Linked DNA regions of Styela clava. The protein of the gene in region 2 purifies or fractionates together with the protein of the main gene of each other region. This does not show direct contact. Links are inferred from orthologs where the notes say so. Each region holds a gene or a part of one and is shown on either strand. Other genes may lie near its edges.

What was found. The genes of interacting proteins can lie anywhere in the genome.
Region 1: the proteins of coatomer subunit epsilon-like (region 2) and coatomer subunit beta-like purify together in Homo sapiens (affinity purification with mass spectrometry; 6 studies listed by BioGRID and IntAct, with this or other methods). This does not show direct contact. The link is inferred for Styela clava from reciprocal best matches to the Homo sapiens genes COPE and COPB1.

What each region holds. Positions count from the first base shown.
Region 1 is NC_135255.1:10,256,939-10,264,446, forward strand, and holds the start of coatomer subunit beta-like, read left to right. Parts: upstream 1-4,479; coding exon 4,480-4,654; intron 4,655-5,519; coding exon 5,520-5,671; intron 5,672-6,292; coding exon 6,293-6,462; intron 6,463-6,855; coding exon 6,856-7,009; intron 7,010-7,508. Other genes in the region: TM2 domain-containing protein 1-like, read left to right, coding at 2,869-3,417. UniProt on the Homo sapiens protein: The coatomer is a cytosolic protein complex that binds to dilysine motifs and reversibly associates with Golgi non-clathrin-coated vesicles, which further mediate biosynthetic protein transport from the ER, via the Golgi up to the trans Golgi network.
Region 2 is NC_135255.1:12,390,505-12,397,174, reverse strand, and holds coatomer subunit epsilon-like, read right to left. Parts: upstream 2,256-6,670; 5' UTR 2,185-2,255; coding exon 1,288-2,184; 3' UTR 516-1,287; downstream 1-515. Other genes in the region: uncharacterized protein LOC120331661, read right to left, coding at 274-439; uncharacterized protein LOC120330988, read right to left, coding at 5,774-5,805, 6,171-6,296, 6,426-6,602. UniProt on the Homo sapiens protein: The coatomer is a cytosolic protein complex that binds to dilysine motifs and reversibly associates with Golgi non-clathrin-coated vesicles, which further mediate biosynthetic protein transport from the ER, via the Golgi up to the trans Golgi network.

The sequences.
Region 1 (7,508 bases), about 2.1 Mb from region 2:
TAAAACGTTTCGCTGTGTTCAATCATTAGAATCGATATATATATAGCATTTTAATATTTCTGAAAAACTTTGGTTACAATGACTTGATGGTTAAAGTTACCATCACAGGGTAAAAGTCTCAGGTTCAAATAACATGACCATACCCTTACCTAGGATGTGATAAATTGGGTAGTCAACGTGTACCCTGGAAAGATCCCGGTCCCTTCAAACGATAGTAGCTTCTAGCAGTGACATTTATTCATAGCCTTGTTTTGATTGAAAGAAAGCCCCGTTTTGGCATAAGGAATAACTAATCAAAACATGAATATAAAAATTGAAGCATATTCTCGCGTTCTTGTTTTTCATTTGTTAAAGACACTAGGTATTTTAGACAGTGTGGCTATAATAAGTAATAAGAATGCGTTTTGTACTCTCCACGATATTCTGCACCTTAATTGCCCTTAGCTGTGCTTACGCCTTTTTGTTGATAAATTTGCCAAAGTTCGAATTAGAGGAAGGAGTAAATGACGAAGACGGCACGATGTCTTTTTCAAGGCGGCCTCCATTTATACGCGGAGCATTTACTCGGATGAATGGAAGGTGGGTGAATGTGCACAATATTGTAACAATATCTACTTCTTCATTTCCGTAGATTTATTATAACCCTGAGTATATGTCGTATATATCACCTTTCGTTAAATAAAATCTGAAATGCTGTTGGATAAAGCTTCTAAAGTAGCAACAAAACATTTTGTAATATTCTTGTGTTATATCACTTCGAGTTTTTTTCCTGTTAATAATCAAAATTGAATTCTTTTTTTAGAAGATGTGTGGCCATGCGAGCCGATATCCATTTACTTATAAATATTACGTTTTTATTCAAAATAACTTCGAAACATAGATTAATAATCATTTAAAACGTGTAGGATAGATTCCTTGCAATCGACTAGGTAAAAAAAAAATCGTGTTGTTGACTAGGTCTTATTTTAGGTGGAGGGCTTATTTAAAAAAAAATTAAATTCAAGCTAGGTCTTATTTTCAGGGTAGGTCTTATTTTCGGGGAAACACGGTAGAAGTGAATAACCATTATTTCAATACAAATATATCCTGTGGTTGAAAGTGGAAACTAAAATAGGCTACTAAAATATTTCTCTAACTTTGTTTATAAAATGGTCTGTATTCAATAAAGATATTATTTTATTCGGACTTCTTTTTCTCATATTTTTAAGGCGAACTCACGTCGTACCGTCGGATGGCTGGAAACGCAAAAAGAGAGAAATACAACACCAGGAAGGCGAGTTTGCTATTTATTTTATTACACATTGCACCTGTCATATCAAATATAAAATCTTGTTGAATAGTTTTGTCGAAATACTTGAAGGATTTTATGTTTTGCTTTCGATTGTATGTTTGTCTGTTATATAGAGCACTTAATTGCAAACATTAAAATAACGTTTTTTATTACTATTTTGTTTTACATATGCAGCCATAGACGAAGACATAGCACTTTTTGAGTGAAAGAAGAAGAAAGAAGAAATCTATTTTAAAATACTTTTTGTACAATAATAAATCTTTGCAATACGAAAAAAATCTCTTAAACGTTTCACATTTATGCGTTTTCTCTACGCAAGCGCTACTGACGAGGATGGTGTGGGAACCAAATCTAACTCAAGATGTAACAGATTTTAATCGCGACACCCCAAACAAGGATAATTACTTACAAGTCAAGTTTATTTTTTCCAACCAGAAAAAAAGTCAGTTTCACACAAAATATGAGGAAGATAGAAAATCACACATTTCATCTGGGGAAGGGAAGCCGAGAGGAACCAATGCTGGTTATCGAGCAGCGAGATCTAAATACAAAAAATACGCTTCGTTGGTTCGAAACACGTGCATTCAAGCTTGCTTAAAAGTCGGTTATATGAAACTGATACTATTGTGTTTGTTGTTTAACCGCGAGCGAGCCTAACTTCAAAAAATCGTCTGATTTTTGTGCAGATAGTGTGATATCCTATTTTTAATCTTGGTTTATTTTAGTTAACATTTCACAACTTACCAAGTTTATAAAAAACCAGAAATATAAAATTTCATTTTATTATTATTATTACTTGTCCCCACAAATTGTTTCTACGAAGATTCCCCACACAACAGAGGTTAAACTTGAGACACAGTGACGTAATGGGTAAAAAAAAATACTGAAAGAAGAGTCATATAAAAAAAATAAAAAAATTTATTTAGACCAAAAATCAGCAAAGCAGTCAAAAAATGTTTGATAAAAACAAAAATCACAAATTCTTGAAATTTCGGAATCATATTAAAATTAATTCCTGAGTATGGATTAGAAAATATGTCTAAATCACTGAAATTGGGGATCGGATTTCCCGGTATCCCATCCCCATTGCTTACTTAGGAATCGAATTCATATTACCGACACCAAAACAAATTGTATTTTTTCGGCCGTAGTTGTTATAAGAATATGAGCATCCATATTTCCACAAATCGGAGGTTTCAATACGAAAGTCAACTGTTGACATTTGGAAAACAAAATTATTCGAAAATATTGCAAAAATTGGTGTTTTTATGCTGGTAATTCAATAATTATTTGCACGCAGTATTCAAAAAGTATTCTAATAAAAATTTACAGGAGTTCAAAACCAATAATCTCCGTTTTTAACTTTTTTTTAAAACAGTCTCAAAATTTTTTTTTATCAAATCCTTCTAAATATAAATTTACGGTTATCCACTTCTTTGTCTCTTTCACTCGATGTCATAATTGAGTGTTTGTTTAATATATCCGACGCAGTCAAGCAAAAAATTCTCCCGAGACACGTCGCCGATAACAGCATTTTTTTGGTCGTAGCTGGTGTTTTCCGCCGCTAGTATTGTAATATGTGCCTGAAAGACGCAAAAATAGCAGCCTATTTGACGTTGCTGACGGTATTTTACTGTACATCGTATGCCCAAGATGCATGTTCTGATCTTTTACCAGGACAATACCGCTGTGCTGAACCTCAAATAGATGAGCATACTCAGGCTGTTGCCAACTGCACACCAGCTGGCAAGTCGAAGATTGACTGCTATCCTGTCAATGGTATAACATGTGATGGGAAATCGTTTAATGGAAGCCAAATTGGTTTCGAAAAACTAATAAACTGTACATATACTAATGGATATTCTTATACAACAGCACTTGGACTTTCAATTTTTCTTGGTTGGTTAGGGATAGATAGATTTTATTTAGGTTATCCAGCACTGGGATTATTGAAGTTTTGCACCTGTGGCATTTTTGGCTTAGGTGCATTTTTTGATTTTTTATTAATTGCATTGCAAGTTGTTCTTCCTGCCGATGGTTCAAATTATGTCATTGATCTCTATGGACCCCGATTGCGGGAAATTTCTATAAATGCTGAAACTTATTTTAAACCACAACTTGAATGATAATTTTAGACTGTTTTTGTATACTATATCCAGATATATGTATACTCTTATTTAACACTGTGCTATTTCTATTGATCTTATTAGAAGCAATAATCCAGTATGACCCAATTTGTCAAAATTATTAAGTGTAACTAGTCAGAATATATCATTCTGAAGTTATTCTCCTGTATTTGACTGCATACTAATATGTTTTCTGTGGTTCCGCTGAGCTAATAATATACCAATTTAAACTGGCCCTGATTTGGTTTTCTCAATTTTCAGTGCTCAAAATGTCATTCACTTGACTGAGTTGAACTGTATTATTTTTTTATTTGAGCCTGAAAAAAAATTCTTCAGATATTTAGTTTTTCAGTAATCTTTTGTCATTTTTCACTCATTTTGCAACTTTTTTTTGTATTGCTGTGTGGATATATGAAAAATCCGTTGTTATCTGTTTCATTTTTCAAACCAACAATAGTCTTTATATGTAATAGTAGTTTTGTTTTTTTTTAAGGGACATTCATAGTATGTTTCTATTTGAATGGAAAACTGCCTGTCATAATATGTTATTTAGAATGCAAATTTTTCTGATAGGATTATACCATTGCCATTCCATGCATTCTATTTCATATCTCAGATGATGAATATGGATGAATTTTGGAAAAATTATTGTTTTTATTTAATTTTTTCTGTGTTGTGCAGTATACTATTTTACCCGACTCAAAAGCAAAGCCTCAAGCGACCATTGAGAACTTTAGGAGTGTTAGTAAATTATCTATGAACCTAATTTGGTAAAGATATGTTAGTCTTGCCATATTAACTTAACAAAACTGCTCTTGGTGAATGAGAGAGCAACAATTGCGCAATTTTTATTGTGAAGCTGTAAATGTCTCACTTTACAAGCTACGATCTGCTATATAACATAACTTTCTTTTCAATGCAAGCTTTAAAATAGTATACCCCCTATTACTCCTGTTTTTTAATTTTTTTTATCATGTTTCTAAAATGCAATGTATTATTTTGTTCAAATATTTTTTGTTTTATTTGATAGATATTTAGATGTGCTAGTGCTTGACTTACAGAATGACATCAGCAGAAAGCATTTGTCACACTCTAATCAATGTACCGTCTGTTACTGATTCGGAGCCATCTAATGAATCACAATTAAAAGCAGATATCGAACATGGCGATATTCGTACTAAAACAGACGCTTTGAAACGCGTCATATTAATGACATTGAATGGAGAAAAACTTCATGGTATGATTTTTTTTGGTATTCAAATAAAATAGTTTATGATTATAATATGTCACATTCTTTTTCAACATATTTTGGGTTATTCATGAGTAATATAATAGTGCATACCAAAATATAAAAATTTAATAATATTGAACAAATATTTCAAAATAATTGGATCCATAGTATTAATCTTCAGTGCTGAGCAGAAACTGAAGTCATACAATTTTTTAAATTGTGAATAGATTTTATCGATACCATATAATATATATATTATAGTTCGTTTGCCTCTACGGGTTTATATGAGGTAAAAAATGGAAACCGATTAAAATAAAACAAGCCTGGTTAGGATAGATTGAGAATTGACTTCATTACGAAATTAAAATTGTAACAGGACTTTATGAATACCTTGTGTATATAGCATAGCGTAATATGTATCGTATGTCTTTCTTCGGAAGATAAAGAAATTGGTTGAAACCGTACATTTGAACCCACGGCAATTGCACCTGCTTACTATCATATCTAAGGATTTTTTATTGTTACACGGATATTTGAACCCATACTAACACTAACCCATGGGTTTTAGCCCTCACATATATATTGAACCAGCGGATATACACATGGGTTCAAATGTACGGTCACCAAAGAAATTCAAGTTATATAAGTAAGGAGATAAGCCACATCAAAATTTAAAATTTTTTGACTGTATTATAGAATAAATTATTTTGTGATAATTTGATCTGGGATATTCATTTACAGTCTGATTTGAATCCAACTGTATTTTTATACAGTATAATGAATATGTCTTTTGAATAGCTTGGAATGAAGTTACATTTTTGTGATTCGATTCAATGCAATTGATTTAAATTATTGCATTCTTTATTACAAGGATTATTGATGACAATCATCAAATACTTGTTGCCTTCTGAAGATCATACTATCAAGAAATTATTGTTGATATTTTGGGAAATATGGCCCAAGACGGACAACGATGGAAAATTGAGGCCTGAGATGATTCTAGTTTGTGATGCTTATAGAAAGGTGGGCTGCTTGATCATTCATGAATTCTATTAAAATTACGCTGAATAAGCATTTAATATGGAGGATTCCCAATATTTTACTAGATAATTGATACATTCGGTTATAAATTGGAAGCCAAATTAAAGCTTGATTGATCAAATTTCAAGTCAAGTTTATGGGTGTAAGTGTAACGGCCTAGTGGTGGCAGCGTTGGGCTTAAACATGTTGGTTATATTAATGAAATCTTGAGTTTTAATCCTATGCCCAGCAACTGACCTAATGTATAATATATTGGATAGATAAGGCCAACTGGACAGATTTCAGTCCTTCTAAAATATAGTGCAATGGCTGCTTGTTTGGAGTGGAAGATGTTTAAAATGTTGCATGGAAAAGTAATATGTAGTCAACTATCAATATCTTAGCATTGGTAATGTGTACTATGCCATTAATATCTTAGCATCGATAATGTCTACGAGACACGGCGACACTGTTTCATTGTTTTTTATCTGTTTGAATGATAAATCCCTATGTTGAAAATTGACTATTAAATTGTTTTAAAATTTATCTTTGTTTTGTTATGTATGACATTTTGATTAAATACAGTTCTGGATTACAGTTCTTGAAGGTTGTCTTTTATTGCAGGATTTGCAACATCCCAATGAGTTCATTCGAGGTTCTACACTTCGTTTCTTGTGTAAACTTCGTCAGGCAGAACTGCTTGAACCACTAATGCCTGCTATTCGTGCCTGTCTTGAACACAGACATAGCTATGTAAGAAGAAATGCAGTTCTTGCCATTTATACTATATTCAGGTAAGTATTCCAAAACACAACCACTATCTGAAATATGAACAACCCTTATAAGGAATGCAATTATTTCAGTCACACTAGGGCAGCATTTCTCAACCCAACAGGCAGAAAAAACAGAACGATTACTATTCTTTGTATGCAGTTTTGCTTATATTATTTGGTTATTCAGTTAATATTCGATATATATATATATATTGGATGCTTTGAAGTTCAAACAAACAACAGAAACAGTTTTCCGCATAGTGAGGGAGTAATAAGGGGATCTAAAAATAGACAAAGGCAGGAATATATTGAGAAAAATTGTAGACCACTGCAGTTAGGGATTTTGCTTTTCATGTGATTTTGACAACAGTCTCTCTTCTCCACATCTGTTTACAGACATTATTTATCTTCCAGGAAATTTGAAAATTTGATTCCTGATGCTCCAGAACTTATTCATGAGTTTCTGGAAGGAGAAAAAGATGCTTCGTGTAAACGAAACGCATTCATGATGTTGATTCATGCTGATCAAGAACGAGCTTTGGATTACTTGAGCACTTGTATTGACCAAGTAAGAGTTTTGTATTTAGTATGACACACATTGCCTGTTATTATTGTGTATATCTCAGTTTCAGTTTTTACTTATATATTTTAGTGCAATGTGTTTGTCGCATGCTTGTATCAGAGTTATCCAAAAGAATGGTTAGTGTACTTCCAAACATATTCATTTTCAATATTGTAATTTATTGAATTTAGAAATGATTTCTTTGAAAATGTGGGCATTTCAAGAATTTGCCTCTTAGGCAAGTTCATGATCCAAAACTTGTTTTATTCAACTTTTCCGAATAACAAAACTTGAAACTTTATTATTATGCAATGACCTCAGGCGTATTCTCTATAAAATATATCACATTTCATGATATAGAATGCTAATATTGCTTAGTGGTGTTGGAGTCTCCAATCTCTATTTAGAATAGTGAATTATTTGTTACCGGCTAATCGGCTATCCCTGGCATATATTTCATGATTTTGCAAACTGGTATTTCTGTTATGAACTTTATTGTGAATCT
Region 2 (6,670 bases):
CTAAGTCAGATCAGAATTAAACACTCAAATACTTCGGAATGACGCACATGAGCAAGTTGGAAACCATCAGCTCACCACAATTGGTCGAAGCTCTTATATATTTATAACTCACCAATGCAGGTTAGAAGTAAACACTCAAATACCAAATTTCGATGACATGTTTGCAAATAGCTTTTATCAGCATAATTTTCCATTTTAGTTCTATCATTAGGTAATTTATCATTAGAATTCGCACAATGTGAATAAAATTTAAGTATAAAGAGTCAAGCTTACCTTGTAGAGACTGAGCATTCGTAATTAGCAAATCAACTTCCGTCATCTTCAATTTTTCTTTTAACATTATTGCTTTCTTACAATCTTGGAGTGAAATGTTGATTCCATCAAACGTAACATTCTTGTAATCATTGCTGCTTGAGAACTTATAGTGGATCGCTGACATATCGATGCTAAATTCAGTTTCTATTACCCAATACAAAAATCAATCGGTATAAATGGTATTCGATTTATTCCATGTATTCTAAAGACAATATTATACATGTTATTATATATACCAGGCAACAAATATACAGATATGATAAGCACCCATCATCCATATCATGAAATAATGCAAATACATTACTTAGGCTACTACCAAATCAAGTCCAGTCATTTCATATTTTAATTTAAAAAAATTTAAACTTTTTATGTGATATTTTATAGCATTGCTCTCAATGAGGCTTTGGCAAAGCATTCACACACAAATAGTAAGGTCTCAACTCCAAATTAAAGAATGGCTAGAATATTTTAGCACATCTAAAGCCAACATATTACAAGATGGTGGGCTTCTAGACTAACCAGGTCTATTCATCATTGGCTTGCTTAGTGAGCATACTCTGATCGAGGCACAAAATACTAGGATGACACACCTAACTTTTTTATCCAAAAAAAATGATTGAAAATCAAAAAATAATGCAAATTAAAAGCGTTATTTTTCATCATCAGTGCTACATAGAGCCAACACATCTCAATTTAAATAGTATAATAGTGATTAATTCCCAAGATTAGTAAATGGTAAATATATGCACTTCTTTAATATCAAATTTCAAAAATTATCTAAAAAATGGGCATATACATTCAATAACCCACACCAAAAGGAATTATTTCAGAACTTTTTCCTTAGTAAATCTGCTCGGAACATGAAAATCATGAGGTGTAAACTTTGCCTGACATCAAGATATTTGAAATATTTAAATATATTTTCTAATTTTCTATTTTTGTATTATTGCAATGTCTTATCAGATTGAACTATCAAGCAGGAGCATATTGCATTGCCAAACGATCAAAGTCATTTTCTTTTGTATTGAAATCTTTGACAAATTTGTGCTTCCCATGAGAATCTTTCAGTTGCGACAGATAACGATTGGTAACTTCAGGTGGTTTTCCAATCTGTTGCGAAAGCACTATCATATTTATTAGAGTTTCAGCACAGTTGCTGTCTTTATCCATTGCTTGCTGTAAAACACCTTCCGCTTCGTCCCATTTTCCTTGAGCTATGAAGCACACAGCTTGACCATTGAGCAGTAACGTGCTACTTTGATTCTTGTCTGCCATTTCTTGAAAAATATAATAAGCATCTTGTAGTTTTTCCCCTCCTACAGAGATATTAAACCACGCCTGTGCAAGTTGAGTCAAGGTTGAATCTTCATCAGTTTCTTGCATTCGTTTGAGTTCTTTTTTTGCAAGATCGAGCCTGTTTATCGCAATGTAAATTTGAATCGAAAGAGCAGAGCACTCCAATGATTCAGCACTGTGAAGGATTCGCAAGGCGGAGTCAAAGTTTTCTTCGTGTGAATATATACTTGCAGCAATTAGTGGTAAAACGGTGTTTTCAATGTCAATATTCCCAGAAAGTTTATTTTCAACTTCTTTCAAAACTTGGTCCTTGTTTGATGAGTCAGCTAAATACTGAGCGAGAAGTTTAACAGCTTGAAGTTCCGATGATCCCAGACTCGAAATTTCATCTAAAACGACTCCAAACTTTTTCTGAGCAATGTATGCACGATACATAAATACATCTCGCTCATTCTTTTTTACTTGGCTACTCACTTTAGCCTTTTGTGCCTCATTGATACATTGTTGATACAAACCAAGATAGAACGCATTTTTGACATCAAAAAGTTCATCGACTTCAGATTGTTGAGACATTTCAAGTTTTTCTATTAAGAATAAGTAGCTATAATAATTAAACCATTTAATGTCTGTACAGAAAGAAGTGATAAGATATGGAAATTTCATAATAAAATAAAAAACTGTATTTGTCTCTTAAATGAGGGCATCTGGCACGACAGCAGATGCGTGGAATTGTGCCATGCTTGTCTCGATAATAATCTAAACTAATCGCGGCCACCACATGTGTTTTTTGCTATAAACTCTCGAATGCTACAGAAAAAAAATTTCAAGAAATCCAATTGTGACGTTTTCAGATTGCACTTTCTTTTCATTTTTGTGCAGTGCGAGTTTGTTCAGTTTGGAAGCCCAGACGGTCTAGTGAATGGGGTTTACACAGGTTTAATAATAAAAAGATGTAGACTAAATGTTGACAGGTTTCGGAATTATGTAAAATCACAGAACCAAGTTCAGAAGTTTAGGGTGGCTTACCCACTTCGCGGCCACGACCTATTTGCGGCCATCAACTTCATCGATCTAATTGATGCCGAAAAAATTAAAGAACCGCGACGATATTCGTCACGCATTATTGTCCACTTGTCTCTGCGATATTACACTAAAATACGGCCACAAACAGAAAAGCTACGACCGAAAACCTGACCGACGATAAAAACAGACCATTTTTTCATGTCGCCAACTACCCATTGTCCCATTAATGAAACTTGAAAATCCATACAAATATAAGAGATAAAAAATGAAACTTGGCAAGGGGGTAGAGTTGTGTTTTATTTAACCATCTTTTAAATATTTGCGTTTCTACATTTAAAGGAGGGGGAATAGGGGGGTGCACATTTCAAATAGGTCAATAATATCTTTGTCGACCAATTTGCGACCACCGTGTTTTTGTCTGTTTGATTGGGAGGGGGAATAGGGAGGTGCACATTTCGAATACGTCGATAATATCTTTGTCGACCAATTTTCGACCACCGTGTGTTTGTCTGTTTGATTGCTGTGATGTGGTGCTTTGTATATAATTTGACGAGTTTTGTTCGAAATGACCGTGTTCTTAAAATATATGACGGTCAGAAATGCAATTAGAAGCCCAATTTTTTCACGCATGGCTGCGCATGCTCTAGTCTCGACGCAGCAGAAACGATGTTCAAAGCTTGAAATTTGTGATCGCACACTGGTCGTTCGGTCGCAAATAGGGTGGTGTAGCCAGTCTGCGGACGATTTCATTCAAACCGCTATAAAACAAAAACCAATATTTCTAACCCCTGGTCGTAGAAAGTTAATTCGAGGTTTAGCGCGTAGAATACATGCCAATGCACCTACGGTGAAAAATTAACGGTTAGAAATATTGGTTTTTGTTTTATAGCGGTTTGAATGAAATCGTCCGCGGACTGGCTACACCACCCTACTTCTGTATTCCAGTATTTCAAAACGCTATACCTGATACGAATATTCGAACTGATAACTATAGTTAAAGAGATTGTTTCATTTTTTTATTACTACTACCTGACTACTGTACCGGTACTATCAGACTGTACAAAGGCAATGTTAAAACTTGAGTCACCGTACAGCCGTAACGTTAGACCGGTGTCTGTCTGTTAAAAATTCAATAAATCACCCCGGCAGTCACTGATAGATCTATATTTATGAAATAAACACTGCGTTATTCTACTATTGTTGACAGAACTATTTCCATTGCGGAAAATGAGAAACCGGGTACGACCCCAATATTACAAAAATACAGAAATAAAGAACGACACGAAACATTCCATGACGATTGAAGTTCGCTGCACTGCTTTGAGACTAGAATGTCGTCACCACTTATAGAAAATTCGAAACTACACGGAGAAATGTTAGATGAATTGTTTTCGGTATTCTGATGATCACCATACCTCTAATTGTTAAATTTTATAATAAAATGTATATTTTTCAATTATTTAATTAAAGAATTTTTAACAAAATAGATTGAATTTTTGACAAAGAGTTCAAGAAAGCAGTAACATTTTCCGCGTAGAACCAGATGTTCTGAGGCGGCGGTCTACGGTGGCTCGGCAGTGTGGCACATCGTGCTAAGCGTTAGGAATACGCTCGCCACCGCATCTGATTAGCCTTCGTGGGATCGCAGGTTCGAATCTCATGCGGGGATGATCATGTGCAAGAGGATTGCTGGACTCCTCGCCGCCGTAGGGTGGTTCACGTAACCGCTGATAGGTTACGCCTTCCGAAAACAAATAACTGGCTAACTAATCCCATACCCGACCTGGACTGGGTAACCAGACGAGAGGCCGTGGTTCGCCATATGATTGAGCCGTCTTATCGGCTTTCCTCTCCCCGGGATAAATATGTAAATCCTATCCAATGTAAAGTTACTATCGATCTCACGCATTGAGGTTATATACACCTCAATGATCTTACGTCGGAGTCGGACATGTGGTGTCTTGGACCGCTTAGGTGCCGATAATTTCGCGCACGGGGCAATCCAAGAATCAGCATTTGGTTGGAAGAAGCCGACAAGAAGACTACAATAAATAAAACTTTGGGCATATATGCAGCACTCTTGAGTGAAAGTACGGGGCGAATGTGTGTTATCTTGTGCTGATGTGTAAATGTGATGCCCAACTCAAGCAAGGTCTGAAGGTAGGTGGTGAACTCAAAAAATGGCGAGCATATCCCGATCAGGAAAGAAGGGAAAGATTTAACAACACTTGTAGCTATTTGTCGTAAGATAGTATTAGCAGGCTAAAGAAGTGGCAGAAAAAGTTCATCGATGCTAATAAGAAGGGCCAGTAACGTAATTTGAGAAATGAGATAGGGGGGAGAATACAAAGCTCTAGTGGAAAAAGGTAATGCTCTGCGGCGAACTGTGTCAGACGCTCCAGGGGGAGCAAGCATTGTCCTTCGAGAAGACAGACGGCAGCCAGGATGCCCAGGAAAGACTTCGATAGGAAATGGGTGATAAATCGTGCATCACTGGGAGCTCGGAAAAGCCAAGCTGAAATTGAGATGGCGCGAGGCTCAATTTTCCCCATCAGACATGCAACAGGAATATTTTTATTTAAACGACGCACGTTTTACTATTTCATAAATTTATCTCAAGTCGAAATAATTAAATTTGTCGTTCCCAAACACATTTGGTCATTTCATTATAGTTCGCAGTTAAATTTTCTTTGCTGCTGCATTCTTAAATATGGGTAGGGGCCTACTGCTGCCTTACTCCAAAGTTTGTTGACTTTAACCGATTCGAAATTGTAATATATATATGTCTATTTACTTGCGATGTGAATATTTTTATCTGTCTTAATTTTAAATATCTAATTGAGATATTTTAGGAGTAACTTTCGGCGAGATGATATGACATAGGCCTACCTTATGACGACCTTTTGTTTTTTTGCAGATTTAAGTACTTGCATTCGAAATTCCAGGACAAATAATCTTTCATATATATATACAGTACAACCTATCTCCCACAGTGAAAACCAGAACAACGATAAAAAAAAAGTTTGCAGATTACATAGTTTAATTCAAATGTTGGAATAATTGGAAATTTTCACACGTCTGAACAAATTTGATCAAAGAGTATATATTTGTCACATATGCAAAATCCGGTTTCATTTCCTCAGGAGTAGCTACCACCGTGCGAGAGATCAACTGAAAATAAAATACAAACTAGATTAAAGCACATCTGAGTTATCACAAACGTCCAGAAATCAAAAAAGTTCATTTCAACCCAGTCCGTTTTTTTCTGTTCCTCGATATATATATCGCATTTGATAATGAATAATAATAATAACTATTTTTTTTTGTAGTTTAATTTTACGACTGAAGTTTCAAACATATACGGTGACGATGCCGATATTACCGAAATTTGAAACATTCTGACAATTTTATTATTCCCAAAATTTCAAGGCTAGTGCGCCATGAAGCAATAAGCTTAACACATCCGACAAAATATCATTTTTTCTTTACTTGAATTTCTAAAATATATATATATGAATAATAAAAAAAACTGCTACCTGCTCCACAATCATCGTAGCATTTTTTGCAATCATATCCACTTGCAGACTTCTCTTCGTTACATGATGGGCAGATCCCGTTGTCTCGTACTAGTTTGTCGCAACTTGTGGCATACACGTTGTCGTCTACGTAAAGAGAAAAAGTAGGAATTTATAAGTTGTCGTAAACTTGCTGCTATCTTGCAAGCGACATTGTGTGACCAATTAAGTTTATTTTTTTGTACTTCAACTTTTTTCACATATCGAATTACTTACCGCAGACTGATTTAATGCACGCTTGACAAGCTCCCGGTTTTGTAGGTTTGCAGCCGTATGATTCGCATTTTTCATGACAGGACATTCCACTCGTCACCTGATCTCCTCCTAGTGCCACGCCCGAATAACCCTGGCTTGATGGCATTGGGATAGGAGAGCCTTGTGTGGAAGGTTTTGCTATAATATTGAATGTAAAAGTATTAGTGTCATTCCAGACTCCACAAATAATAAGTACTCGCAGTATA